4 linked regions of the Rhinolophus ferrumequinum genome follow. The protein of the gene in region 1 binds, or shares a complex with, the protein of each later gene. Links are inferred from orthologs where the notes say so. Each region holds a gene or a part of one and is shown on either strand. Other genes may lie near its edges. The genes, in order: GNAI1, RGS1, HCAR1 and C3AR1.

Region 1 (7,394 bases):
CTGAACTCAGATGTCTAAAAACATAATACATGTCTTAAGAAAAAATGCAATATGATGAACTACTTAATCCACTGTCTTAAATGCACTTTGGAGGCATTGTACCTTAAATACATTTAAAAAAATCATCTGATGAGAAAAACAATGAAGAGGAAGAAGACCTAATGTAAATGGAATTGACATTGGTTGTGGGTTACCTAGAGACCATTTTATATTTCTAGTTGATTCAGTCGCTCTGTTTTATAGGGAATGATTTTATTGAGCTGCTTAAACATCCAAAAAAAAAAAAAAAAAAAAAAACAACCAAAGATCAACACTTCACTGCTAAAGTCAAAAAATAAATGTTTTCAAACATTCCAAGGATTAAGATTTATGAAATAAGTCAGCCAGCATTCTGTTTATAGGAACTAGGGTGTTGGAACTGGGCAAAAGGGTGGAGTAAGGCAGATAAGGGGGGGAGGAAGAGCAGTGCTGGGCCAACAGGACAAAACTTCCGTAGAAGAGAGACGTGGGGAAAAACAAAAAGACTGAAGGTAGAAGAGACAGCTGAGGGAATCCTCTTACCTACAGATTTTAAAAACCATTCTGAAATATTTCTAATGTCACTGGGATGGAGAATCAAAAATTCCGTGATTTCTTCTGAAAATCCCTGCTCTGCTACACCTCTCATAAATCTCGCTATAGTTAGCTGTAGAGATGCAACTTTTGATTCTACATTACACATTCAACTTTATTTAATTGTTAATCTAGAACAGTGGTTCTAGGCCTGAGGTTAATTTTTGCTGCCAGGAGGCTTTTGGGGGGATATCTGGAGACATTTTCGAGAGTTACAGGTTACCGGGGCTGCTACTGGCATCTAACCGGGTAGAGGCCAAATATGCTGCTAAACAACCTACAATGCACAAGACAACGTGCGCATCAAAGCATTATCCTGCCCAACATGCCAATAGTGCTAAGGCTGAGAAACAGTGATCTCTTCTGAATATGAGGAAAAACCCACTCCTTGGACCTGTATCCTAGTCATCTCTCTCTGACAGACATCGAATTAAAGCTCAGACCACCACCAGAGGACTTATTTTTCAATTGCTTTAAACATGGTAGATGGCTGGTTCAAACTGCAGTACACTGAAATAGTATTATCAGGAATGCAGAAATGCAAGAACTTTTTAATCCTCCTTGTTTCATTTTTGTCAAGCACAGCACATTCAATTCATAAAAGGAGCACCTACATGTTTCCATACCGAGGTGTTTCTCTTCTGCGCTCAACGTACTAAAACATACACTGACCTTGGCAAAATAAAGTATTTCTCACGAATGTATAAACTTAGTAAACGGCATTAAGAACGATTTATGTTGGGAGCGAGGATGAAGAAAGCCACCCAGGTCTTTAAAACGCGGTTACTTCAGTTTGCTTGCAAAATGACTCAGATCATTATTACTTTTAGTCATGCCAAGTTTGCTGCTTCTAAGCCTCCAAGTAATAGAGAGAAAAATAAAAGCACCATTTTTTCCTGCCGTCATTAAACCAATGAAACAGAAGCTTACTGAAAACAGATTTGTGCAGCATTTCTTTTTCGTTATAATTGTTATAAAAATAAAAGCAACAGCTCGGAGTGCAAATGAAGATTCTGAGAAACCTTTCATCTGCCTGAACACCTACAGCGTGTGCGTGTGGGGATGCGGGCGGGGGCAAGCAAACAAAAGGAAACCTAACTCAGACATCTGCAAATCTTTCGCTGTCAATATTTTCCTCGTGTACCCCTCCGTCAACACCCTGGCTTTCTCTTTCTATGTTATCTCCCTTGAAACAACCGGAAAAGACCTCCACACGGCGTGTCACCAAGAGCACAATACTAAGAACAAATAAAAAGCCTTGGCGTCGTACCCGGAAAATCTCATTCATCAGAGAGCATGGCAGCGGACAGAGAACCCCGGGGTCCGGCGCATCCCTTTCATACCTGCACATCGGTTTTGACCGCTCGAGTTCTCTTACTGGAGCAAACGTTACCAACTTTGATGGTTTCCCGGTCCCCACAGTGACAAAAACCAAGCATCCAGCGTCGCCCACCTCTTCACGCAAATGTCATCGGGTAAACGTTATCAGTGTTCCATTACCACTGAGTCGCCACAGGAAGTTAACAGGAAAGACAAATTTCAATCCCACGGAGGCCCCACGAAAGGTGCACAGATTTCACAAAATGTGGCACTCTTGCCGTGGGAAAACGCCAACCGCGACACCACACCACGTGCGAAGGGTTTCGGGGCGGGAGGTGCTGTTATTTTCCCGTCACTGATGCCCCTTCGTCTTTATAAAGCTAAGCTAACTTCCACGAAAAGGGGCTCCTCAAGCTCCGCTCCTCGGCTCCCCGCGGGGACGAGTTCTCCCCGGCCAGCAGCAGGGAGGGAGGGAGGGAGGCGGCCGCCCCCGCTCCGCACCTCCCCAGACAAGCTCCCGCTGGGGAACCCTCCTGGGCGCTCGGAGACGCGCCCTCGGCCGCTGTGACACGGCCCCTCCGGGTTTCCGAGCGCCGAGGGGCCCGCAGCGTCCCCCGCCGCGCGCCGCGCCCAGCCCACCCGCCCGACCCCCGGGGCCGCGGGGCGCCCCGCCGCCCTCACCGAGCAGCAGCAGCTTGACCTCGCGCGCCGCCTTCTCGCCATCCTCGCGGAGGTTCCGGTCAATCATCTCACTCCGCTCCACCGCCGCCTTGTCCTCGGCGCTCAGCGTGCAGCCCATGGTGCCAGGAGCGAGAGCCGGCCGCCGCTCCCTTCAAGTCCCGCGCGCCGTCTCGGAACACAGGTGATTCCTTCTCTCCCGCCGCCGGCCACGACACCCCCACCCACTTCCCAAACCGAGCGAGGAAAGCGAAGGAGCAAACAGCGCCGCGCGGCTCTTCCCCACGGCCGGGTTCCGCTGCTGGCGTCCCTCAGCGCCGCCGAAGTCCCGGTTTTGAGGCTCCGGGCACAGCGGCTGCCACCCTCCCTCTCCCCCGCAGTCGCGCCGCAGCCTGGAGAAGCCGGGCAGAGCGCCGCGGCCCCGCCCCGCCCCGCCGCGGCCCCGCCTCCGCCCGCCCCTCCCGCCAGCGCGGGACCACCCCCAGAGCGCGCTCCCGCGCGCGCACGTGCCCTCGGACAGCGCCCCCTCCGACGGGCGCGCGCGCTCCCGCGGGGCCGCTGAGTCCCGCGCGGCGTCGCTCGCTGGTCGCCTCCGCGCGCGCCCCGTGGCAGAGCCCGCGGAACCTCCGACTGGCCACGGGCTCCCCTCCCTCGCTCCCTCCGCGGGAGTGGGATAATTTCTTCCCGTTTGCTCACGCCCAGGGATCTGTGCGGAAATGCCTGCCTCTTCGGGTTTATGGGTGGGAGAGCTGCCAAAGTTTGGTAGCCGAAAAGAAGCTGGTCTCGGGCGTTTGAGCATGCCCAGCTCCGCAGCCACGCAAAGGTTCTGGAAATGTAAACCTCTGTCGGCTGGCCTTCAGGACTGTGGGAAATAGAGGGAGCTGGAAAGGGAATGGAGCCGTGGCGGAAACAGAAAGCAGAGATGGCAACACGGGGAATCAGGAAAGTCTCGAGAGAAGGATAGGAGGTCACTGCCTTCAGTTTGCCTTTCCTTCGTTCTGTTATTCCCCCCTTCCTTTCATCATTCCCTCCTTCCAGCCTCACATTGCACAGGCAGAGAACGTTTTGAAGGGTTTCTTCATAACCCGAGAAAATGGGAGGCAAAGTATCAAAGAGTGTATTTTAAAATGACAAGGGGAATAAAACACCTACACAAACAAATCTGCCCCACACCATAACCGCCCACTTCTAGGGTGTCCTGTAAATTTCCAAGCCAAGTTGTGAACCAATACTTATGAATATGTTAGTAAATCATAAGCCACTGGGGATGTCGTTTCTTTTCGTAGGCCTTAGCTTCCTCGCCCGTAAAATGAGATGGCCTTGATTCACGCTATTTCTCCACCCTTCTAGCTCTAACTGGTTTGGGGAGAAGCTTCTGAGGTTGCAGATGCATTTCACCCAACAGCAAATGAATAAGCTGTAGGTTTAAGGTCTGGTTCCTCTCAGTGGCACAACACCTTTCCATTACCGTCATGGCAGAGAATGTTGGTGGATCATACGATGGGGCTGGGAGTAAAGAAAAACATTTTCTTTGATGTATTAAAAATTAGGAAGTTGCTCTTTGGTTCCCATCTGGAACTCTCGTTTTCTAAAAACGATTTATAAAAACTGTTTCCACGAAGGTAAGGCTGAGCTGATGCTACAGCAAGTATAGCTTTAGAGTGAGTCACACATAAGCCAGAGATTGCTGGCTTGCAGAGATTGCTAGTTTCCTCCTCATTGGACATGTCCTTTCCTGTTCTACAAAAGTCAAAACTGCTGGGCTCTAGAGATGCAACTGCAAGAACTGCCTCAACTTTTCCTATGACCTTCTATAATGTAACAACAAAAGGAGCAAGCCTAAAATTGTACTTAATCACCTTCTACCCTCTGTGTATTGCTTGGCCATCTAAATGTGGGTGTTCATCAGAAACTCTGGAATTAAACTTAATTGAGTGAATTTACAACATAGTCTTTGTGTATCAGCCATATTGGATTATCTGTTATTGTGAGTCTTTCCTATAAGCTTCAAGGCGTGGAGAGTGTGGGATCAACAATTGTGGGAAAAGAGGAAGTAATCATGACTGAGTACTTATTGGTAAATGACTACAAAACTTGTACTTTGGAGAAAAGAAGGTGTAACATAATTATACACATTACCCCTCTCCTTTGAGAAACTTGTCAAGTAGGTGAGGAGTTAAAATATAATACATGGGTGAATAAGAACTGAAAAGTAGCTTTATATGAGAAGATGCAGTGTATGGAGTGAACAGTATGGGGAGAAATTCCAAGAGAAGAAAGTTTTAAAAAAAACTTTTGAAGGAAGCCATGACTGGGGATTGGTGGGGAGTTTCCAAGGGGTATGTGTAGGTCAGCTCACAATGCCATAACAAAAGACCATAGACTGTGTCGCTAAAACAATAGGAATTTATTTCTCACCGTTCTGGAGGCTGGGAAGACCAAGATCAAAGTACTAGCCCATTCAGTTTTCCGGTGGGATGCTCCTTCTGGCTTGCAGATGGCTACCTTCTTGCTGTGCCTTCACACGTAGAAAGAAAGAGCTCTAGTCTGTCTTCCTCTTATTATAAGGACACTAATCTCATTATGGGGAGAGGGGTTCACCTTCATAACCTCACCCAAACCTAATTACCACCCAAAGGCCCCACTTCCCAAAGGTTAGGGCTTTGACACATGAACTTGGCAAGGGGACACAAATATTTAGTCCATAACGGTACGTTTCGTTCGAGAGGAAAAAAACAGCGAAAAGGGTTAATATGCAGTATTAAGGTACATGTTGGAGAAAGCAATCGTTTTATAATTGAAATGAAGTTTAGCTGTGAAGAATGATAGCAAGCCTAGGACAAAGTTGGAAGGTAGCTTTAAATATTAAGGTGAAGAGTTGGACTTTATAAAATGGGAAGAAAACGTTCCTTTCATTCTCTTGTGTTGGGTAATAGGTGTTTAGAAAAGAAATCTCTTACCCAACAAAACAAATGAGTTACCAGCAAATGGCTTATGTTAGTAACCCAGATATGAGGTGTAAGAGTCATTCAAATTAATAATTTACATAATTATGATGTTTGCAAAATGTGATTTAACAACCTTGTCAAGGAGGTGGAGCAGGTATTTTTAACTCATCTGTTTTACAGAGAATGAAACTGAAATACAGAGGGTAAAGCAACCTACTTCAGATTACTGTTTGATTCTCTTCTGCACATCATGTTTTAAACAACTATATTGAAATATCATTCATATGCCGTATAATTTATTCATTTAAAGTGTACAATTCAATGGCTTTGGTATATTTACAGAGCTGTGCAACCATCATGACGATCAATTCTAGAACGTTCATCACCCCAAAAAGAAGCCCCCTACGCCATAGTCATTACCCCCCAATCTCTCCAGGACATCCACCACCGCCAAGTCCTAGGCAACCACTAATCTACTTTGGGTCTGTTTAGATTTGCCCATTCTGGATATTTCATATAAAAGGAAACATAGTGTGTGATCTTTTGTGACTGGCTTCTTTCACTTGGCATAACGTTTTCAAGGTTCATCCATGTGTAGCTTGTATCAATACTTCAGTTCTTTTTATTGCTGAATAATACTGAGCGTCATATGCTAGAGAGTTAGGGACATATGTTAAATCACAAATTGGGACACATTCGGCTGAGAGCATCCAGTACTTAAAGTAACTCCAAACTGAGTCATGAGGAATAATTGAAGAAACTGGGGGTATTTAATATAGGAATTAGAAGCTACAAAGTGACATGACAGATATTTCCAAATGACTGAAGAGACATCATAAATCAGAGGGATTAGACATTTTCTGTCTGGATTCAAGGTGGTAGATTTAGAAGTGTTGGAAGATAGCTACAGCAAACAAATTTTTCCTTGATGTGAGGAAAAACCATGTATAATCCACCCCACCTTCCCCACCCTCCACCCCACCCCAAAGAGAATAGGGAACTTCAGAAACATATTCGTTCTTGACTAAGATGTAAAAATCTAGACTGGATGATCACATATCGGGAATGATCTAGAGATAGGTGAACTTTTAGGATCCCTTCCAACCTTGAGATTCTATTATATATTATTCAGAAGTTTATGGACTTAGTCTCAGACCTGAGATAAAAATTCAGAAACTTCTTCTGGCCTTCAATTTTATCCCTCCAAGCAAAAGCCAGAAAGAATTGTGCACCTGAGATGTGTTGGTGTTGATGGATTAGTGCAGGGATAAGGAGGAACAATAGAAGAAGACAGAGCGAGGACAACATGTCAGACAGAAAGAGAGAGAGAGATTATCAGAAGGGAAGTGTGTATTTTCGGCTGGCTCAGTTGGGAGCAGATGTGGCATGTGGACACCTCTCTGTTGCCTACATTGAGGTTTTTGCTTTCTAAATCACGAGAGAGTTTGGTTTGGGGAGAGGACAGGAATAAGTAGGAGAATAGAGGGGCTAGCATGGCATCTTTACTCTTCTATAGTTATAGCTATAAGGGCCCCAAACCAAAACCATTTTGTGAGATTGTGGGTAAAGGTTGAAAAAAAAAAAGCCCACTGAATTATTACTGAGAGATATTATAAGGCAAGCAGCTCTCTTTGAGTGTGCAGGTTACAACATTGTGGGACTGAGATAAGGTAGAGGCCATGGTCTCAGCATGGAACTACCACCACCCCGGACACCAGAACACTGACTGATTGAAAGCATCTAGAGACAGAGCTTTGGCTTTGGCCACCCGTATTCTCCTGAAGGGCAATGCACCTTTGGCAATACTCAGTCTTCCTCAAGTAGCTTCACAGACAG
Region 2 (7,755 bases), on another chromosome or scaffold:
GATAGGGTACTTTGTGCAGCTATGTTTTGTGGATATTTAACCGGAAGGTGGGCACTTCTAGTAACTGGAAATACTTTTGCTGCTGCAGCGTATGGATTACACTGTTCTATATTTTGTCTTCACCCAAGGTGAGCTCGCTCATCGAGAACTCCCTGGGATTCAATTCTTGCCAGTGATGCTATAGTTCCTTACCCACCCCCATCATGTCAGCTAGCTTTGCAAAATCAGTCTTTCATCCAATCTTGTCACAAATGTAGAACATTAGGTTATCATTGCGCCAAACTACATGAATATACCTAAACAGATAGCAGTGAAATCATGATACTCATATAGGATTTCATCTTGTTCTGTATGTGGAATGTCATGTCTGCATTTAATTTCCTTCGCTTATAAACCGATGATAATGAACTTGATACTCACTTGCTTAGCAGCGTCTGAATGCACAAAAGCTTTGTAGATTTTCTCTGCTTTGTAACGCAAGAGGTCCGACTGTGTTTGTTTGTAGTCTTCGCAAGCCAGCCAGAACTCCATGTTTTCCTCACTGAACTCAGACTTGAGGAAACGTCCAAAAACAACTTGACCAGCTAAAAAGAAAGAGTGAGAGGTGAGATATTTACGTTAATTGAGCCAATAAAGGAATAACTTGAAGAAGAAATATGAACGAAAAATGCTATTGCATTCTCTATGTAGGTGAGAGATGGTTGCTGCTAAAATAGGTGTGTCACAGTTCGTGAGACGGGAGGGCCTTAGAGATTCCTTCATTTACAGTTTATCTGAGGCCACACAGACTTGGTCACAGTCACATAGCAGCCTAGTGGTGGCTATGAAACTGCTTTTGCTTCTATCTGCTAATTCAATGAAAATCCTGCTCTCCTGCTCTCCAAATCTCTTCTCCCATATAAAGTATTTTAGGGAAGCAAACATTGACAAAGGGCCTTAACAGCATGTTACCAATACAATTTCCCATCCAATTCATGAGTTGGAAAATACGAGGCCTCTATGTGACCTATGTGTGACACACTTGTTATATTTGCTAGTGTTATGGCAACTTTCAGATGGGCCGTTTCTATGCTGTTTGTTGGGCTGAATTGTAAATGAAGTCAGATAATAAGATGGATGAACCAGGTTGAACTGTCTGATCCCCAAGCAAGGCTCCTTAGGGGTTTGTGGGGAGAGGAGCATAAACTCACCCTCTGGAGAGACACACAGCTTATCCACACCCTTTAACAGGGTCCTTATCTCGGTGGATCAGTGGTCATGATGAGGGTAGGACAGGCAGATGTCTTTCTTTATGTGCTCTCATCAGAGATGCCCCACTAGACTCTGTGTCTGAGAACTGCTTTTATCGTGTGTGTGTTATAACGTGTGCTATGTTATATATGGTGCAATTACATACTGTGCATCTTAACTGCCTTTAGGGCAGCCAGGCACCGTCTTTGGTTTGGAATCCTTGGTGCTTCTAAAATGCTTGCTGCACGAAAGTGGACTGAACAGGGGAGCTCATGGAATATGTGAATGACAAAATAATCAACTGACTGAATGAATACTATTCCGTACATCCAGCGGTGCAAAAATATTCTTTAGGTAGCTTTCAGAACAGCAGTTCACATGTTGAGAGGTTTGGTGCACTCTAAAAAATGTTAAACATCAGAACCCCAGCCTAATTTTTCATTTTGCACCTATCAGGTCCATGGAAGCATCTAACTGTCTTGGCAATTTTGTCAGTGGCAGAATTGAGTGCGAAATGAACATGCCATGACAACAAGGCATAATATGCTGAAACTACCAGTGACTACAGAAAAACTAGAATATATATGGCTTTTCATACACTCCCCTCCCCAAAATACTGTATCTTAATGAAGCCTTTCAATCCGTTAGCGTATTGAGCTAAATCAGACACATTCAATAGTTAATCTGTACTCACTCTGGTTGGTGAGAAGTTTTTCCAGAGATTGAGACCACTGCATTACTTCATCAGCAGACAGTCTGCAGGGGGCAAGATTTACATCAATTAGTAAAAATATATTTTTTTCAGAAGCACAAGTGAAATCAGCAAAGGCTCCTGCATTTTGAGAACTTCACCAACACTTAGACTATAGTTCTAATAAGTTATATTAAAGTTTATCTATAAGAGAACGAAATTTGCCTTAGAATTGCTACTGAAATAAAATTTCATATAGAATTGCTAGATGAAAACATCCGCCAATTAAATCTGAAAAATCCAAGTGCTCTAATAAAATAGGTGCTCTAGCAGCATAAGGAATAGCAAATACATGCATACACACATGCTCTTATTTAATTTACAGTGGCACTAGTATGCTAATCTCCTTAGGCTTGTCACATCAATGTGCCATATTAATCTCTGGCTAACATACACAGCGAATGCACAGGCCCCTTTTATAGTGACAGTGTATCTGTACATACATGTCCTTGGACTTGGCAGCCTTCATTCCAGATTCCAGATGTGGGATCATAGACCTCAGGTACGCTTTCACGTCCATTCCACTATGAAAGACACAAAAGTGAGTATTCAGAGCTCATCAGTTGAAAACACTTCATTTGTAAAAAGAAATGAATTTGTAAGAAGAGAAGCTGAAATACACTTCTCCAAGAAATAAGGCAATAATAAAAATAGTTGCTACACCCTGTTACTATACGAAGAGTGAACCAGTTTAAGTCTGGTCAAATCCCCACCTACTGTAATGTCTAATCACAACTCATTTTTTAAAACAACTGGATATATCCTTAGAGCTCACACACCAGGTCATGACTCTGATCTAGCTAACCGGCTGGCTTCTGTTGTCTTCCATTCTGCCATTAAAGATAATCTAAGTCAAAATTCACGACGTGAGATGCTGACGGGACTTACAAAGTCTTAGGCCTCCTCTTTGGCGTTTTGTCCTCTAGAAGGGAGTGATCGGTTCCCTTCACTTCCTTTGCAGTAGCAGAGAAGAACATGCCTGGCATTTTGTCTAACCTTGGCGTGGAGATGGCTGCCGTTCTCATCATCCTCTCAGGGCGAATGTCTGCGTGTCAGCGTGTCTGCTGCTTATATATCGTGAGGGCAAGCAGACACATGCTGCTCGGCGAGTCTGTTTATCAAGTGATTTTACCACAGGCACTGGAAGTTCCCCCTTTCTCACTGGCTGTGACGTGTGTCTTGAAAAAAAAAAAAGCATGCAGGGATGCTTTGTGGTTGAAACTTAACCAAATAAGAACAGGTCACTTGATTAGAAAGAAAGCCAGAAAATTAAACCCACTGAGACACACACACACACAAAACCATACGTCTAAAGCATTAGGAGCTTCTGTCTTTGGTTCTAGGTGATGCTTTTGTCTTCCTAACAATAGCATGTTTCACTCAAATGTCTCATTTGGCATATTTATTGGGTCCCATAGAAACTCAGTACTCGAGACATAGTCTCTCAATGCTTGGCTCATCCTTGACTATAAAGTTCATCCGATCACAGTGTTTTAAAAAGAGTTCTTTTTTGTGTTTTGTTTTTTCCTTTCAGGAAGCAGTGTAAACAAATCCTTTTTGCCTCAATTATCTGTGCAAATATCTTATAGGAAGGAGAGTTATGAGAGGTTATCTTAACTTTCATCTGTTATTTTGAAGGCAAGAAATTTCCATGTGTTTTCCCAGGTGTGTGCTAGACATTCTACTGGTGATATCCAAGATGATTTAAAGGGGTGATTTTAGTGGTTTTAACATTTATTAGGAATATAACTAGCCTATCAGAGTTTGATTTTTTTTTTTTTTGTATATCACTGCTTAGGATAAGAATAAAACAAAATGAAAACAAAACTGTAAACAAAAGTATACTTAACACAGAAATATGGCATAGTATATACACGTACTGATAGTAAAGAATTGCATAGTATCAGAGAAAACACTGCTCATGGTAAAATAAGAGTATATTTGGAAAGGCCAATAATGTGTATTCCTTAGGTGAAAACTTCTGAATTTTGGCAATATCTCTGGAGATTCAAGTGTACCTTTAATTAAGAGTAAGGATTTAAAAGAAATCCCAAGGAGTTAGATGACTAATCATTGATCAGGGTAGAGGGATTAGTACAATATCATCTCTTATAGAGTTTATATAGAGTGTGGTTTATTTGTAGTATCCAGTTTAACTTAAACCTCTTTTGGTTTTTATCCCTGAAAAAAAAACAAATTTTACTTAGGCTCCTGATGGTAATAGGCAAAGCTGCCAAAAGGAAAGAGAGTATGACTTTTCCTGTCTTGTCTCTATCAGCAGGATAAGGAATATTGAAGGAATCATGCTTATCATATTTTGAAACCCACTTCCTACAAAGCCATGAACATATATTCTGTGTAGCAAGCATCACTTGGTGTTCAGAAGATAACATCATGATGCGTTAAGAAAGAGAACTAGTGAAATAAGCTGGCCACTTTGTGACCCAAAAAGAAATGATGGGGCTCAAAGAACAATGACATAAAGGCCTTTTTTTTTTTTGGTCTGTGTTGTGGTTCAGGCCATGCTTCACCTTTCTGTTAAAATCTTCAGCATGTCTCATGTTTGTGTATCTAGTAACTTCTCATTCCCCGACAAAATTGTGAGTTAGAGCAAAAGGATTTAATGTTTATTTTGAATGGCCTCCTGTTATTATTATCCTCCATATCTACTCACAATTTCCAAAGTATGCTTCTGCAACACTAGTTCCTTCGGTCGTTAGGAAGCATTATAAGGACTATAAGAGCAGCAGCAGCAATGATTTTGCGGCCACAAAAGTTTGGGAAATGGTGGGTCCAAGTCGAATACGGTTCTTAAATTGATCAGCGCAGATCTGCGAGCCTGTAACGTGTGAACGCACATTTGTCAGTGTCTGAAAGGAAGGTAGAATATGCAGTGGTTTCCTATGCTTTTTGGGAAATGAACCCTCCTTCGGTAGGGAAAATAGTTTGCAGAAATCATGTTCTCTTGACACCACATTAGGAACCTCTGAGACAGCCATAAGTCACCTTGTAATTCCTCTAAACCTCCCACCTTTTGCTACCTCATTACAGACCTTCAAGCTCAAACATTTGCAAGCAATTGCAGTCGCACACTTCTAAGCCCAAATAGAGAATTAAACTCCTAATAGGGGGGGTCCATCTGAAACTCCTCTGTCACAACTGGCTGTTGAAGCCACCTCAGTGGCACAGCAATAGCGTCTTCCTCTCGAAGGCTGCTCGCTAGCACATGCAAAGCCCTATATGCCAAGGAAGCCCAGAGTCCAGGAAGCTCTATTTGCAAGGGTTCACGGGTCCATGGCAAGGCATTGCACGTTCCCTATCTATTGCACGCAGTGTCCCTGTCTGATTCCTCTTTAACAAAAGACAGATGATCAAATAATAACTTTACTGAGTCAATACCTTTGGTTGAAGTTGTAGAGCATTTGGTAAAAGCTAGTAGAAGAAAGAGTGGCTCTCAGAAAGGTCCTCTTGTTTGTATATTTCTTGGTGAAATTGTGCATGAGAAACAAGGTTGGAGTCTTAAGAAAAGTAATACTTCATGTGGTCTTAATGTTATCTTTTTATATATATTAAAAAATATGCTTTATTTTTAGAGCAGTTTTGGATTTACAGCAAAATCGAGTGGAAAGTACAGAGAATTCCCGCATCGTCCCTGCACCCCACAGGCTGCCCCCCAAACAACACCTCACATCAGTCAGTGTGGTTTGTTTGTTAAAACCAAGGAAGAACCTCCAATGTCATGTTATCATTACCCACAATCCGTAGTGTGCAAGGCCTGACAATTAAGTTCGTGAACTTGTTGCAATGATATTGCTAACATTCCTTTGATATCAGAGGGATTATTCATTATGAATTTGCACCAACTGGACAAACAGTTAACCAAGTTTACTATTTGGAAGTGCTGAAAAGTCTGTGTGAAAAAGTTAGATGACCTGAACTTTTCGCCAACAATTCTTGGCTCCTGCCTCACGACAATGCACCAGCTCACATGTGTCTGTGAGGGACTTTTTAGCCAGTAAACAGATAACTAACATACAAAGTTAGTAGGGAGGGTATTGGAACACCCTCCCTACTCACCTGATCCAGCCCCCAATGACTTCTTTACCCGAAGATAAAGGAAATATTGAAAGGATGACATTTTGATGACATTCAGGACATCAAGGGTAATACAACAACAGCTCTGATGGCCATTCCAGAAAGAGTTCCAAAATTGCTTTGAAGGGTTGACTGGGCATTGGCGTCAGTGCATAGCTTCCCAAGGGGAGTACTTTGAAGGTGACCAAAGTGATCTTCAGCAATGAGGTGTGTGGCACTTTTTCTAGGATGAGTTCATGAACTTAATTGTCAGACCTCATATATTACGATTGTCAGTTCTGTATATCCTGTGGGTTTTGACAAATGTATAATGACATGTGTCCACCCTTATAATGTCATGCAGAATCGTTTCCTTGCCCTAAAAATCCCAGTGTTATATTTTAAAAAGTCTAGGAGATGGCTTCAGTAAAACATTTCAGATAATGGCTATCAATTTGATGGGGTCAATTTTAATCTTTGTTGAGTTGGTTTTACATTTTGCTTTCAATAACCCCAACTCCCTGAATTTTAGGGAATGCTTTGCTGAATGACTTTCTCATCCTTGGTATTGATTAAAATGATGTTGAGTCTTTATAACGTTGCTGAAATTTTATTGCGGACATTGGAACTGTGAGGAAAAAGGACAATAATCAGTACAAAATTACATCTTTTAAAAAAAGTTTATTGGCCTGCTTTTCTTGTCTTTTTTTATTCAGTTTATTGGGGGAAACATTGTCTGGTAACATTATATAAATTTCAGGTGTACAACTTTGTAATATGACATTTGAACACTCAATTGTGTGCTTGCCACTCGAAGTCGAGTCTCTTTCTGGGACCATGTATTTGTCCCCCTTTACTCTCTTCACCCTGTGCTTGTCTCCCCTTCCCCTGTGGTCACCATCATTCTGTTATCTGTATCTGTGAGTTCATTGTTTTCTTTGTATGTTAGTTCATTTGTTGCTTTGTGTTTTATGTCCCACATATGAATGAAATCAGATGGTTCTTGTTCTTTTCTGTCTGATGTATTTCACTTAGCAGAATACTCTCAAGGTCCATCTATATTGTCACAAATGGCAGTATTTCATCTTTTCTTATGGCCGAGTAATAACAATCTATTGTGTGATAGTACTGCATCTTCTTTATCCAATCATCCACTAAAGGACATTTCGGTTGTTTCCATGTCTTGGCCACAGTAGTGCTGCAGTGAACAAGGTACATAAAGTACCTTGTTCTTTATGAATAAGTGTTTTCAAATTTTTCAGGTAGATACCCAGAAGAGGGATTGCTGGATCCTATGGCAATTCTGTTTTTAATTGTTTGAGGAACCTCCATAGTGTATTCCTTCATGGCTGTACCAATTTACAGTCCCACCAGCAGCGTTTAAGGGTTCTTTCTTTCTCCATATAGTTGCCAGCTCTTGTTATTTCTGGTCTTATTGATAATAGTCATTCTAACAGGTGTGAGGTGATATCCCATTGGGGTTTTGATTTGCATTTCCTTTATAACTAGTGAGGTTGAGCATCTTTTTATATGTCTGTTGGCCTCTGTCTTCCTTAAAAAAAATGTCTATTCATGTCCTCTGCCCACGAGATTGTATCTTAAAAGCAAAAATGTATTTATACCATAAGAGTCAGTGACATGAACAGAAATTTTGACCCATTGAAACAAAATGTCTTGATTTCACAAACTTTACTTGCAGT
Region 3 (6,717 bases), on another chromosome or scaffold:
GAAAGCAATTACTCTGGACTCCGCACTTCCCAAAGGCCAGGGGACTTTTTTTCAAGCACTCAGCTCCCACTGGAAAAATCAGGGCAGGTAAACATATCCCTCAGCATGGTCTCTGAAATGCCAAGATTTGCAGAAAAATGTGGAGCCCAAAAACAGAGCAGATTGTTTTGCTGTCATTCTTGGGCTATTGAGAAGTCAAATGAACAGAGTCCCCCCCCCCCCCCCCACACACACACCAGATGAAAATCATGGGCATCAAGACATTCCAACCTACAGAGCCTCACTCAGCCTGACATAAAAGTACTGACTTAGTCCGGTTTCTGTTTTCCAAGACAAGTAATGATTTAAGGTCGGAGGATAGGAAATACTGATAAGTCATTAAATTCACTAACTCCCCCCCGGAGAGAGGACACGACCGGTTTAAACACTTGTACCTATTTACCCAGGCGGTTAAAATTGCACAGAGGCCGAGCTCTTCCTAGTCCCACCCCTCCCACCTCCCCCCGCCCGTCACACACATGCCCCTTGTCCCCTATCCTTGTAATAAAAATCATATAAACTCACTTCTCGACTGGGACCTTCCAAAAAGGCATCGTAGCCTAAACTTTGTTTCCAACAGAGTGAGAATAGAGTTGAGAAAGGGCAGCATTTTCAAAGCCCCTCAACCCCTCAGCACAAATTATTTCTAAGTCGCCAGTCTGTCCTCGACTTTGTCTGTCTGTCTGTTTCAGTGCCGGTTCAACACATGTGGAGACCCCACGGCACATCAGATTGGCTTTGCAAGCTATTTGCCACACTGGTGCAACTCTTGCGACAGAGGTTTGAAATCGGCGTCTCCTCTGGCCTCTGTGTCTTGGAGCGTCCTGTTCGCTTGGGTCTCAAACTGCGGATTTGGAGCTTGGTGTAGAATTTGGGGAACGAGGGACTTGAAAAATAATACACCAGGGGGTCCAGCATACTGTTCATGTAGGTGAAGCTGAGGGTGACATGGAGAGCTACGTGGACAGAGGGGTTGCAGGCACTCGAGGGCACCGTCCAGAGGAAATACAGCCTGGCTGACACGCTGGGCAGGTAGCACGTGACAAACACGGCCATCACCACCATAATGAACCGCATAGCCTTCTTCATCCGAGTCTGCCTCGCCAGCTGCTGCCTCTGCTTCAGGCTCCAAATAATCTTGAAGGAGCAGAATAAGATGATGCCGAGGGGCAGGAAGAACTCCAACTGGAACATGATGTCATGCCAGCCGTTGGCCGACTCCATGATGAAGCTCTCACAGGATATGGTCTTCTCTTGCACACACAGGTGGTTCTCCATCAAAAGATACAGGGTCCCCAGGATGACCATGGTCCAAAGGGCGCAGACGATGCCAGCCGCAGTCCGGTTGGAGATGGTGTTCAGCACGTGGTGGGGATGCACCACTTTGAAATACCTGTCCACGGCCACCACCGTGAGGAAGACTATGCTCCCCGCCCTGTTCATGGCCAGCATGAACAGCACTACCCGGCAGGGGATGTCCTCGAATGTCCATCGTCTATCTCTGCGGTAGTAGTCTGTCCGAAAGGGCAGGCAGATCATGAGAAGGAAGTCGGCCACGGCCAAGTTGAAAAGGTAAATAGTGCTGGGTTTCCAGGTCTTCATGTGGAAGCAGAAACCACATAAAGCGATGCCGTTGCCCAGGGCACCAAGCACAAATGCCAGGATCAGCAGCGGTGGCATCACCCGCGAAATGGGGTCCCCCTCAATGAGGCAACACGACCCGTTGTCCATGGTGGACAGAGGACAAATGCTCCGTGTGCCAGGCAAGCCCTGGAGTCCCCACAAAGACACAGGTGCTTATCTGAAGGCTGCCACTCACCCAGCTGCTATTTTTCTAACTTCTTCACCCTGGGATGCAGGTACCCACCGCACATGTGGGTGGATGCAGCCACAGCGGAGAACAGAAACTTGAGCCAGGAAATGAGAGCCTCAGGGAAGTCCTTTCTCCAGAGCTTGGGTCACAAGCTGCCTGTCTCCCCAACAGTCCGAGCATGTAGCATGGTAAGACTTTGAAATGCATGTAACTTCGTGCAAGTGGTCATTTCTGAGAAGCAACCGGGAGGTCCAATGAGATTCATGCTGGAGAGGAGTTGTTGGGTCCGGCCCCAGAACGATTTTTATTTCCAGCCTCACTCTTTTCCCGCAGACTCTCTCTGTGCTGGAGAGCCGCAAAGCTGCCCAGAAGGCACGAAAAGAGTTTGTTTGTCCTCCCTCCCGGAGGAGAAATACAAACATTTCCTGCAGCCAATCTGGGCCTCTGCACTGCTTTCCTCCCTAACCTTTGCCTGACTGCCCGTCCTCTCCCTCATCCCATGGGGCACTCCCAGGCAGTGCCAGAGACCGAGGCTCAGAGCCATTTCCTGTGCCCACACCCAAAAACAACCCTCAAAGATCAGCAGGGTCTGTGGACGAAAAAAGTTCTAAAAACCGCACTTGTTGGGTGTTAGAAAAGTTCTTTGAAGTGTTTCCGCCTCTCCTCCCCTCCGTTCACACCTCCTACCCTTTGCCTCCTTCCTTGGATCCAAGTGACCAGTTGCACAACCAACAAGACTGTGCATCCCAAGCCATTTCTCATATGTCCGTCTCCATGAAACAGCCTCTGTGGGAGCCAGTTCCTCCCTCTGCTGTTTGCAAAAGAGGATTTGGCTCTAAGTTTCCCACTGGCTGTTCAAAAGAGCCAAGCACCGTGATACATTGGTTTTTAATTTTAATTATGTGCTGAGCCCTTTGGTGGGGACGCATGAAGTTTGGGACCGTTGGTCCAAGAGTCTATCTCTAAAATAATCATGGGTAAAATTAGACTGCACCAAAGATCAGAGTCTGCTAAATTTTCCTGTCCTTTGACTGTAGAAGTGACTTACGTGCCCTGTGTGGCTTTCCAGCTCCCAGCTTAGGAGAGGGGTGCGAAGAGGGAGTGCTTTGGAAGCATGCATGCCTTCTTCCGTTGCTGATTAAAACTAAATTCTTCCCTCTGAATCCTAGACTCCCAATTAGCCTGACAACACTCCCTACTCGCTGCCCTTGCCCTAGCACCGACCACTGTTACCTCCTAGCTGTTGAAACTAGTCCATTCCCTGTAATTCCTCTCCCACACTACAATGTGATTTTTTTCTGAAGTACAGATATGATCATATCCCTTTTTTTCCCCTCACTTAACAGCCATCATTAGCTCCCTCCGATCTGCCAAGGTGATAGCTATAGAGCCTGTGAGCCGTATCTGTTTCGAAAACCGGTTCGATTTGGCCCACATGTTTAAAAAAACTAGGACTGTCCTAGAAAAAACCTGTATTTCCAGCCTCTCCTGGGAAACTGGAAGATCTGGCCACACTTGGCCAAAAATCCCACATAGTAACAATCGGCCAGAGCTGAGAGTAGCTGCCCCCTTGAGATGGGGCAGCTCCGTTTTGCCACAGCCCCCACCACTCCCTATTACCTGGTCAGCTTCACTCATTCAAATGCCTGATCTCTGGAATTTTGAGTTTGTCACCTCTGCCTTAGGTTAAAGATCGCATTCCTTGGCTTAGTATACAAGGCCCTTCACAGATGGTTCCCAAAGTACCTTTCCTGCCACTTTCCTCCTCACTTGTTAGTCTCATAACTTCTAATAAATAAGTGTGTCCATCCAACGTCCACGTTTAGCTCCCCCACTAATCCAAAAGGTCCTTGGAGACAAACTCCATTTTCTTGGCAGGATGGAATAAAGATCTGGATAACTAAGTCCTGCTTTTCATGAGAGCTCATGGCAGCCACTTTCACTGGATGGGAGGGGGACCTTCGTGATTCTCTAAGGAGGTGTTCACTGTTGTAGGCTGTAGCACCCCAAGATGAGGCTGGCTGGGGAACTCTGAATACCTTAAGAAGGTCAGGCTGGACTTTTCAGCAAATGGAAAATATTCTTCATCTGTGTTAGCAGATACCTCCAGATTCTTGTAAACCCAAGGGCTTCCTTTTCTTGCGTGACTAACACCGGCCTTTCTTTTCCTCATCCTTTCTGTCTTGTCAAATCTCCTTCCTCTCTCTCTCTCTCTCTCTCTCTCTCTCTCTCTCTCTCTCTCTGACTGTAGAATTAGCTGGAAGGCAGAGGATTTAGGAAGAGAAGATATGTTTCTCTGAAAGTCTACTGTTGATAATGTGTGGGGAGGGGGTATGTGGGAAATCTTTTTTGCTGTGAACCTAAAACTGCTCTAAAAATATAGCCTTAAAAGAATTTATACCAGGTTTTATTACTGATCTTATTTTTAGTCCTAGCTATTAATTACAGTGCCTGATGCAAAGTAGAGGCTTTGTTGATTTAAAATGGTTTATTCACACCTGAAACTAATATATTGTTCTATACCAAGTCACCTAAAAAAAAAAGTAAATTAAAGTGTAAAAATAACATAAATAAAAATAAAATTAAAATGTGTATTAAGTGAATCCTCAAGGTGTTTTTGCTAGATGCTTTCAGGGTTCCCCAAATGAGGAAACTATTACCTGCCTTCTGGAGCTCAGTTTTTAGGGGAGGAAATAAGACAAATACGTAAATAACAATAAAGCAAAGCAAACAGAATAAGCAGCTTAAGGCAATATTTTCCAAAATGTGGTTGGCACACCACAGAGGATAGGCAAAATTATTTTAGGTGACACAGAGTAATATACATACACATGTGTTTTGACTTTACAGCTATGACTTTATTTTAATGTGTGTTTAAAAAACACACATTGGAGTTTTGTGAGAAAGAGTTGTTAACATTTCTAGGGGGCAGAAATAGAAGGAACAGACATTCCAGACAAAATGCAGATCATGGAAGAAGTAAGGCTGGAGGAGGTATATGAGGAATATTGGAGGACTTTGAAATTTGGAGTCTATTCACAGAACTGTAAGGAATAAAACAGGCCACCACCGTTGAGTGGGGGCAGTTTTGCAGGAGACCTTGAATTCAGTGGCAGTGGGGAGCCATTTTTTAAGTAAATAGTATTGTAAAGGATTGTGTGAATAGTTGAAAGAGAGAATGGCAGTAACAGGAACAGGTTTTTGTTCCCGCCCCTCCCCTAATCCTGCAAGCCCTGAGGACACAGTACTGTCCCTTGTTGTCACTTGGGAATTCTGCAGGCTTGGAACCTGTGTTTTCTCTTTCTAGTGTGTTCCAACGGGAGCCTTGGTGGGGATATTATCCAGATAACTGAAGCCCCACTCCCTTAAGCATCAACACTTAACAAAAAAAGTTTCTCAAACCTCTTTCTCCGATTCCACACCAGAACCAAAGGAACTTAGTGCCAGCCACCAAACAGCTGAAGCCATAAGCTTGGTTCCCTCTTCTTCCTCACTCACCATCATCTCCACTCTGCTGGTCAGACGCCCTAAGCCTCGCCACGCCCACTGTAACCACTTTGGCTGGTCCAAGGTTCTGGAGGAATGCAGCTGCCTCCTGATGGGCCCTCCTGCTGCCTGTCTTGCTCCTCCTCCAATCCGTTCTCCGAAACTCAAATCTGCTGTCATTACTCATCTGGTCGAATGCTCCAGTGACTCTGGGTTTGTCCTTAGCGGGGGAATTCAAGATGGTTAATAAGGCTCCACAGAACTGGCCTCAACGGCTCCAACATGAGCCATGGCTGTATTTAGTATCCAAAGACTGTCCTACAGGGACCGCTGGGGACACACTTCCTTCCCTCATAGTCCTGAATAACTCCTCTTTTGTCAGCATCAGCCTAGATCAGTGTCTTCCAATAGAACCTTCTACAAGGATGGAAATGTTCTGTAGTACACATGTAGCTTTTGAGCACTTGAAATGGGGCTAGTGGGAACTGAATTTTCAGTATTAGTTCATTTCAATTAATTTAAAATTTAAAACCACTTGTGGTTACCAAATAAGAATCCCAGGACACTACGTCCTCTAACCCCCAAGCCTTCTGGGAATCTCCCTATCCGGTCTGGGTTAAGCCCTCCTCTCTGCACCATCTCTGCCACTCACATACCACGAAGTATTATAAGGGTTTACTTGTGTGTCCTCCCCCAGCTCTTCATCTCTGCGAAGACTAACACTGGGTCTGATTTAGCTTTGCATGCCCGTCACCTAGCCCAACACCTGCCATCATGCTCAGTATGTCTTGAGTAAGTGAGTGAACCAGTGAACAAATGATTCCAGACCTTTGCAATTTACTTCTTCTTCTGGCTGTGAGGACACACCCCTGAACAGGAAGGGCTGGTTGAAAGAACTTGTGGACACACCAGCCAGGTGACGTGGCATGCTCCTGGGCCCTGCCGTGCCAACTCCTCCGATATAACGTTTCTTCTCTTTATACGTGACAGGGGCAGGAAGTGGACATTTCTGCGGGGGCTGCCTGGCAGGTGTCAGGAGGAGGAACTGTCTGCGGTAGTATTTTGAAAAGACACATTTGTGGGTGCCTCCTTTATCCCCACGTTACTGCCACACTCACAACACTTCTGTCGCCAAGTGTGTGGGATATTTTTCCCACACTAAGCCATTCTGTGTGACACCAACTGAGTGTCCTGCAATTCCCATTCAGTTCTGGCACCAACCAGAGTGAGTGCAGACCCCACAGGTTGAGGGTTCAGTCCCACGAGACTGCTCCCCACTTCAGATGCCAGTTGCAAGATGTGGGTCCCCAGGTTACCCACAATTTCTGCCTGACTTGGCTACCATTCGAGGTTCCCATGACCTCCCTCCTCAGATTCCA
Region 4 (7,745 bases), on another chromosome or scaffold:
TCACCATTCTACTTTCTGTTTCTATGCCATTGACTATGATAAAAGTAGAATCATACAGCATTCATCTTTTTGTGACTGGCTTATAACACTCAGCATAATGTCCTCAAGGTTCATTCATGTTGCAGCATGTGTCAGAATTTCTGTCCTTATTAAGGCTGCATAATATTCCATTATGTGGATAGACCTCATTTGTTATCTCTTCGTCTGTGGATGGACATTTGAGTTGCTTCTACCTTTTAGCTTTTGTGAATAATGCTGCTATGAATGTGGGTTTAAATGCATATTGTTTTATAAACTGCTTTCTTTTTTCAGTTACCAGTCTCTACATTATACAGCAAGATTGTACCTTAAGGAATACTCGATCTTTATTCAATTTTTTCCAACTGTCCCAAAACTATCTTTTATATCTAATTTGCCCACAATTATATCCAATCTAGGATCACACTTACATCAGGATGTTATGTTTCTTAAGTCTCTTAAGTTAGTCTAGTTTCTCTTTTTCAAGGATATTGGCTTGTTTTGGGGTCTCTTGTTCTCACCACTCACTTCTTAACACTGCACAATTTGTCTTCTGCCCCCATTGCTCCACTAAAATTACCTCTAAATAATAAATTCAAGCATCCTTTTCTCTGTTGCCATCTTCCACAATATAATACATGTCATGTGATACACTGACTCCTTAACATTCTCTTCTCTTAGCCTGTGATGTTACCTTCCCCTAATTCTGAAGACTCCTACAAATGTACTCTATTTCATAGCTTTATGAACAACTCACTATTTCAAGTTAATGCCATTTTCTGTTCTATGGCTAATGAATGCTGTTTGCTTCTATCTGCAATTATGTCCTTCACCTTAACTTCCCCTTTCCTCCATTTCTAATCTCTCCCTGTTAAAATCCTAGCTCTTCTTCAAGATCAAGTTCAAATATTATATTTTCCTTGAAACTTCCTCTAATAATCCCAACCAGAAATTAGTTCTTCAGCTTCGAATTTTTTTCTTTTTCAACTAAATTTTTTCCCCCGTTTCCCCCTCTTCCGCCTCCCCCCACCCCCACTCCAGTTCAAGCCGATTATTTCTGTTTGGTTGTGTAGGACAGAGCTTCCTGGCCCTGGCCCATGCTCTCCCTGGCCCTTGTGCTCCCTCCCCCCCCCCCCCCCCCACAGCTGAGGCAGCCAGTCGCTGGTCGGTGGTTGGCTGCTCACAGCAGGCAGCTCACTGCAATTCTCGCTGGCTGCCAGCCGCTCACGCTGGCTGCTGGCTATTCACACTGGCCACCGGCCACTCATGGCAGCACACGATAGCCCACGGCAGCCCACGGCAGCACACGGCAGCCCACAGCTGCTCTAACTTCCGTTTTGTTTTCTACTTCCCAATTCTTACTGGCTGTAACAGCATTTTATGTTTCCTTTTATAAAGGCCCCAAAGTATTTTTGTGACTAGAAAATAGTTCTGCTGAGTTAACCAAATGTTGTTGTAGGGTCTTAATTAGCAGTAGTTAAAATAACTAAGTCAGCAAAATAATAAAAAGAAGTGATTGTCATCTTTCCTGTTGCCTCGCATACTCAAATATTCAAGTCCTGTCAGTGTCCCTTCCTTCCCTGTTTTGCACGGCAACACCCCTGATCCACTGTTCTATTCCAACACACATATACATGCATAGATCCATAAAATGTTCAGAAAAGGATAGTCATAGGCTCTTAGGGCCAAAAGGAAACGTAGCAATCACTTCTCCTTGTCTCTACTTTTCATTTTGCAGTTTTGACACTGATACTCAGAAAATTAGGTGACTTTTACTATACAACTAAGAGGGTTCTCAGATTTTAGGTCCCATGTGTGTCAGACCAATTCCTTTTTACCACAAAGAATCACGTAACTTAGAAGCCTTTGGTATTGCTAACAAGGGTATCAAGAGCTGCACAAATTGAAGTATTAAAGACTGACAGAAGCCACATTCCAATGTAAAGAAATTGGGTCATCCGGTATGAGTTATTTTAAATATCACATATTATCTGTTTTGAAATGAAAGTATATATAAATCAGAATCTTAAAGTCTTTCAGAACAAGATCACTTTTCACATTTATCCTAGGGTTTTGATTGAAAAATTCCTCTACATTTAAGATTAGTAGAGAATTTTCTTTTATTTTAGTTTTTAATACTGAATTGACTGGCAGTAACTAATAAGATAAATAAAATCCTGAAACTAAAATTCAACTATGGTAGGGAAAGAAAAGTGGATTCCAGAATCAAATACTAATGATAGGATGACAGAGTAAGTAGCAAGAAGGAATAAGTAAAAGAATATAAAAAAAAAGAGAGGTTGGTGCCTGGATGGCTCAGTTGGTTAGAGCGCAAGCTCTTAACAACAAGGTTGCTGGTTCAATTCCCACATGGGATGGTGGGCTGCGCCCTCCACAACTAGATTGAAGGACAACGACTTGACTTGGAGCTGATGGGTCCTGGAAAAACACACTGTTACCCAATATTCCTCAATAAAAAATTTTAAAAAAAGAAAGAAAAAGAGAGGGAAATACAATGAGAAAAAAATATATATACAAAGAAAAAATAGACAATTGGGGAAAACTGGAATCAAAGGTCAGATGGAGAAACAGTCAATTTAAGAGAGGAGGGGAAATGACATAAAAAAATCACTATTAGTTCTAGAACGAAAATATGAAGAGCAAAGATAATCAAATGTGGAATGTTTAGAAAAAGAAAGGTGCACACGGGGAGAAAACAAAAGAAGTATAAGTTGGAGAAGGAATAAGGAGAAATAGAAGATAATGACCCTCCAACCATTACCTATAAGGAGCAAAACAAGTGAGGCACAAGTGACCAGCTGGATCCAGGATTCCTTACCAAAAACTTGAGACAGTAGCTGAAGGCTTCAGCATAGAGCTGGGGGCCTCCCCGAGTCCTGTCTGATCTTCACACTTAACCACAGTCAAGTGTGGTTGGAAAACTTATTTAGGAAATTTGCTGAGCTCTTCCTCCTTCCTCTCTCTCTCTTCATCTGTGTTGATAAATCGAACCTCACACTTTTGACTACTATTTGACTTCACAAGAAGAGTTTCAAAGTGAGTCACTTTACAGATAAGTAAAGGAAAAAAACAGAAGTTGGGAGGGTGTAATTCTCGGACATTTTCTGCAGGACGGAGCATGGTTAGAAAGAGTACTTCTGTACATAAGCTACGCACTTTATTGATTTTTGCTTTTGTTTTTGTTTTAGAAATACACCACAATCACCTATGGTATGTGTGGGTGGGGATGGGGTGTAGTTGGGAGGAATGACCTGCACAGCCCCATGGAATAAATCTCAAATAATATCACTTACATGCTTAATACAAGGTTGGACAATTAAGTTCACGAATTCATCCTAGAAAAAGTGCTACATACCTCAATCCTGAATATCATTGTGGTCACCCTCGAAGTACTCGCCTTAGGAGGCTACAAATGTACTCTATTTCATAGCTTTATGAACAACTCACTATTTCAAGTTAATGCCATTTTCTGTTCTATGGCTAATGAATGCTGTTTGCTTCTATCTGCAATTATGTCCTTCACCTTAACTTCCCCTTTCCTGCATTTCTAATCTCTCCCTGTTAAAATCCTAGCTCTTCTTCAAGATCAAGTTCAAAAATTATATTTTCCTTGAAACTTTCTCTAATAATCCCAACCAGAAATTAGTTCTTCAGCTTCAAATTTTTTTTTCTTTTTGTGTGTGTAGTTTGAACCTCTTTTCATATTATGCAATGACACATTTTATCTTGTAGTTGATATGGTGGCAGTTTTATTTATCACACTGGCCTTAAATTTAATGATGATAAAAATGTTTTTTATCAAAATGTTTTGATAAAACAAAATGTTGAACATCATCAAAATGTTTTCCTTTCAATATTTCCTTTATCTTCTGGTAAAGAAAGAAGTCATTGGGGGCCAGATCAAGTGAACAGGGAGGGTGTTCCAGTACAGTTATTTGTTTACTGGTTAAAAACTCCCTTACAGTCAGTGCCGTTGAGCTGTGCATTGTCGTGACGCAAGAGTCATGAATTGCTGGTGAAAAGTTCAGGTCCTCTAACTTTTTCATGCAGCCTTTTCAGCACTTCCAAATAGCAAACTTGGTTAACTGTCCAGTTGGTACAAATTTATAATGAATAATCCCTCTGGTATCAAAAAAGGTTAGTAACATCATGGCAACAAGTTTGTGAACTTAATTGTGTGAACTTGTACTTTATTTTATTGCATTTTATTTATTTTTTTTGTGTGGGGGGAAAGGGAGCAGGATTTTACTGGGGAATAGTGTGTACTTCCAGGACTTTTTTCCAAGTCAAGTTGTCCTTCCAATCTTAGTTGCAGAGGGCGCAGCTCAGCTCCAGGTCCAGTTGTGGTTGTTAGTTGCAGGGGGCGCAGCCCATCATCCCTTGTGGGAGTCGAACTGGCAACCTTGTGGTTGAGAGCCTGCGCTCCAACCAACTGAGCCATCTGGCACTGGCCCATGTGGGAATCGAACCAGCAGCCTTTGGTGTTAGGAGCATGGAGCTCCAACTGCCTGAGCTACCGGGCGGCCCAGACCTCATATTTTAAAAGTAAAAGAACAAAATCTACAGCAATAGGATAAACATTAAAACTATTAAAATAAAACAGAGAGAGAGAGCTTGAAAGGGGAATCATTTAGCTTTTGGTTCCTACAACTCCAGACAATTCTACAATAGAGATGATCTCCTACCGTGTTTCTCCGAAAATAAGACCTAGTAGGACCATCAGCTCTAATGTGTCTTTTGGAGCAAAAATTAACATAAGACCTGGTCTTATTTTACTATAATATAAGACCGGGTCTTATATAATATAATACCGGGTCTTGTATCAATTTTTGCTCCAAAAGACGCATTAGAGCTGATGGTCTAGCTACATCTTATTTTCGGGGAAACACGGTATAATAGAAATGGTGGGTGTGGCCATGGCAGCTGTTGGCAACTGTGGGCTCTAGCAGAATTACTGGTTCCAGTAACAGCCACGGGCCTGTGACTTCCTAGATTCCTGCTAAGCAGCAGCAAGAGCGCCCAGTCTCCAAGCCAAGTACACACTTATCCATTCTAGGTAACAGCCTTTTCCACTTTTGTCTTCCAATTTTAGGAAAGCAGCTTCTTGCAGTTATGTCATCTTCTCCCCATTTATTTCTCCAGTTCTTCCAATACTTTTTAAAACAAATCCTTGTATTAAATACCCTATATGAAGTACATACAATGGTTTCTGTTTCCTGGCTGGGCAATGACTAATTCAGAAAATATTCACTGTACCTATTCCATAGGACTGTTAAGAGTAAATGAATTAATACATGCAACATGCAAAGCATTTAAAACAGTGCTGGCATATAAGTACTCAGTAAATGTTAGCAATTATGTCAAAAAAACTAATGTGGCTTCCAGTTGTCTATAAGATTAAAACCAGTCTCCCATCTTGAACATGTATCAAATAACCTACAAAATATTCCCTTGCCAGTGTTAAGTCACATGCTTTTTGTCCAATCAAATCCTAACCATGGCTCTCAAGGATGTGGATTAGATATACCTTCTGCTCCGTTCCGTATAACTGCCTAATTAATTATGCACAGTGACAATAAAACCAAGTAGGAACACAAATTGAAGAACACAAAAGTTGCCCACAAATTAAAGAAATTCAGTTGAAAAGTATATATATATATTAAAAAAGTGGTTAATCCCATCATAATAACAAATATCTAATGCAGTCATGCTTGGCTCTTGAAGAAATCAACCTAATTTAGCAAGAAAAATAGGTCAAATCTGAGTGGTTTAAAGAAAATTTAACAAACTTTGCTTCTTCTATTTATTTGTTGGTTATTAATTTTCTATTATAGTATGCATCTAGGACTGCTAAAGAAGGGAGAGTGAAGGGGAAGTACACTGAGTTTCATTAACACATTTTGTGACTTTAGTTCCATGAAAATGAAAGTGGACAAGGCACAAGGCATCAATTTGTGTTTATCTAATCTAATGAGAAAACATAGGAACTTTAGGCGGCGGGGCATGGAATTCAGGACTATCAAGGGGTACATGGCTCTCATAAATTTTGTAGATCTAGATAAACTTTTGAGTAAATTTTGATTGATTTTCTTTTCTTTTTTTTAGGTTTGCTATCCTATTTGTGCATTATTTGGAAAATGTCTTCTTTAGTTTCTTTCTCCTTTGCCTTTCTTTACCGATTTCATTTCCACTAGAATGCATGCAAAAGAAGGTGATGTTACAAATATACTGGGTTAGAAAACCACTATTTCCCTCTCTGTAGGGAAAAACCCAGTTCTTCATATCCTGTGTGTCGCCTTTACTTTCACACAGCTGACACCACTTCTGACACTTTGGTCACCAAATGGGTGGGACCTGGCACTATCTCTAACTGCACATAGTAGCATATCCCACAGGTTACAGGCTCAGTCCTACAAGACTGTCCCCCACTTCAGATGCCAATCTCAACTAGTACGTCCCTAGGTGACCCCAACTTCTGCTGACTTGGCTACAAATCAGAGGTTTCCATGACTTTCTCCTCTTTGGATTTGATTATTTGCTAGAACAGCTCACATAACTCAGGGAAACACTTACATTTACCAGATTATTAAAGGAGATGATAAAGGATACAGGTGAACAGCCAGATGAAGAGGTATATAAGGTGAGGTCTGGAAGGGTCCTGAGTGCAGGAGCTTCTGTACCTTTGGAGTTGGGGTTGCATCACCCTCTGAGTGTGAATGTGTCCCCCTTCCCCGGTCCCCGGAAGCTCTCCAAACTTTTGAGGTTTTATGGAGACTTTATTAGGTAGTTGTGGTTGATCATTAACTCCATTTTTAGCCTCTTTTCCTTCTTAAGAGTATTAGGGGATGGAGGCTGAAAATTCCACGCATCTAATCATGGATTGGTCTTTCTGGTGACTAGTCCTCATCCAGGAGCTATCCAGGAGCCCAATCAGAATTGCCTCATTAGAATAAAAGACACTGGGCCTGCCGGGTGGCTCAGGTGGTTGGAGGACCGTGCTCCCAAAGCCAAGGTCCCTGGTTGGATTCCCACATGGGCCAGTGAGCTGCGCCCTCTAGAGCTAAGATTGTGAACAACAGCTCTCCCTGGAGCTGGGCTGCTGTGACCAGCCAGAGGTTGGCAAGAGCTGCCGTTGGCCGCTGAGTGCTGCCACAGGCTGCCGTGGGCTACTGTGTGCCGCCATGAGCAGCTGGTGGCCAGCATGAGTGGCTGGCAGCCAGTGGCCAACCAACGACTGGCGACTGACTGCCTCAGCTGGGGGAGCGCAAGTCTCATAATACCAGCACGGGCCAGGGCACGGTGTCCTACACAACTAGACTGAGAAACAACGGCTTGAACCAGAGTGGGGTGGGAAGGCGGAAGAAGGGGGGGGGCGAGAATAAAATACACTTTTGGGTCAAAAAAGGGACTATGCACTAAACCTGATAAGCTCACGGGAGGCCAGCATGACAGGCCCTACAAACTCAGAGACTGAAAGTAAGCACACAGGATGGTCTGAACATTAAAATTCCTAACTAAAAGCAGGTCATGGAGGGTAGTCATATTCTAGGCCTGTAGCTTCCTTGACAAAGGTCAATCTTTACCTTAAGTGAGCCTGTCTACTGCCTTTTGCATCTAAGATAACAGACCTTTGAAATATCAGTAATCTCCTTTTCCAGACCCGTCAGGGCACACCCACTGTAACAGAGCACAAGACCACAGAACCT

Evidence for each region.
Region 2: the proteins of GNAI1 (region 1) and RGS1 are in contact, whole or in part, in a crystal structure (PDB 2GTP), measured with the Homo sapiens proteins. The link is inferred for Rhinolophus ferrumequinum from reciprocal best matches to the Homo sapiens genes GNAI1 and RGS1. Residues at the interface, in NP_002060.4 of Homo sapiens: Val179, Lys180, Thr181, Thr182, Gly183, Ile184, Val185, Gln204, Ser206, Glu207, Lys209, Lys210, His213, Ala235, Glu236, Asp237, Glu238; in NP_002913.3 of Homo sapiens: Ser105, Glu106, Phe107, Ser108, Glu110, Asn111, Ser143, Asp144, Ala145, Ala146, Gln148, Ile149, Asn150, Ile151, Asp152, Phe153, Arg156, Leu181, Lys184, Asp185, Ser186, Arg189.
Region 3: the proteins of GNAI1 (region 1) and HCAR1 are in contact, whole or in part, in a cryo-EM structure (PDB 9IZD), measured with the Homo sapiens proteins. The link is inferred for Rhinolophus ferrumequinum from reciprocal best matches to the Homo sapiens genes GNAI1 and HCAR1. Residues at the interface, in NP_002060.4 of Homo sapiens: Glu28, Arg32, Leu194, Asp315, Thr316, Glu318, Tyr320, Phe336, Thr340, Asp341, Ile343, Ile344, Lys345, Asn347, Leu348, Asp350, Cys351, Gly352, Leu353, Phe354; in NP_115943.1 of Homo sapiens: Lys48, Ser50, Thr51, Leu54, Arg113, Lys116, Val117, Pro120, His121, Asn125, Thr126, Ser128, Leu203, Arg206, Gln208, Leu209, Gln212, Arg214, Met215, Lys217, Ala218, Phe221, Ile222, Ser281, Ser282, Pro283.
Region 4: the proteins of GNAI1 (region 1) and C3AR1 are in contact, whole or in part, in a cryo-EM structure (PDB 9IPV), measured with the Homo sapiens proteins. The link is inferred for Rhinolophus ferrumequinum from reciprocal best matches to the Homo sapiens genes GNAI1 and C3AR1. Residues at the interface, in NP_002060.4 of Homo sapiens: Glu28, Ala31, Arg32, Glu33, Val34, Lys192, Asp193, Leu194, His195, Lys314, Asp315, Glu318, Tyr320, Lys330, Phe334, Phe336, Asp337, Ala338, Thr340, Asp341, Ile343, Ile344, Lys345, Asn347, Leu348, Asp350, Cys351, Gly352, Leu353, Phe354; in NP_001313404.1 of Homo sapiens: Asn57, Arg120, Val123, Val124, Pro127, Ile128, Gln131, Asn132, Asn135, Val136, Tyr356, Ile359, Arg362, Met363, Arg367, Phe368, Lys370, Gln372, Lys374, Thr375, Val378, Ala379, Leu438, Gly439.

Annotation. Positions count from the first base shown.
Region 1 is NC_046303.1:44,057,744-44,065,137, forward strand, and holds the start of GNAI1 (guanine nucleotide-binding protein G(i) subunit alpha-1), read right to left. Parts: upstream 3,018-7,394; 5' UTR 2,732-3,017; coding exon 2,614-2,731; intron 1-2,613. UniProt on the Homo sapiens protein: Guanine nucleotide-binding proteins (G proteins) function as transducers downstream of G protein-coupled receptors (GPCRs) in numerous signaling cascades.
Region 2 is NC_046310.1:5,294,656-5,302,410, forward strand, and holds the start of RGS1 (regulator of G-protein signaling 1), read right to left. Parts: upstream 3,012-7,755; 5' UTR 3,010-3,011; coding exon 2,870-3,009; intron 2,506-2,869; coding exon 2,425-2,505; intron 1,987-2,424; coding exon 1,925-1,986; intron 585-1,924; coding exon 421-584; intron 1-420. UniProt on the Homo sapiens protein: Regulates G protein-coupled receptor signaling cascades, including signaling downstream of the N-formylpeptide chemoattractant receptors and leukotriene receptors. Inhibits B cell chemotaxis toward CXCL12.
Region 3 is NC_046308.1:4,884,426-4,891,142, reverse strand, and holds HCAR1 (hydroxycarboxylic acid receptor 1), read right to left. Parts: upstream 2,455-6,717; 5' UTR 1,771-2,454; coding exon 739-1,770; 3' UTR 506-738; downstream 1-505. UniProt on the Homo sapiens protein: Acts as a receptor for L-lactate and mediates its anti-lipolytic effect through a G(i)-protein-mediated pathway.
Region 4 is NC_046293.1:24,655,160-24,662,904, reverse strand, and holds the start of C3AR1 (C3a anaphylatoxin chemotactic receptor), read right to left. Parts: upstream 3,004-7,745; 5' UTR 2,801-3,003; intron 1-2,800.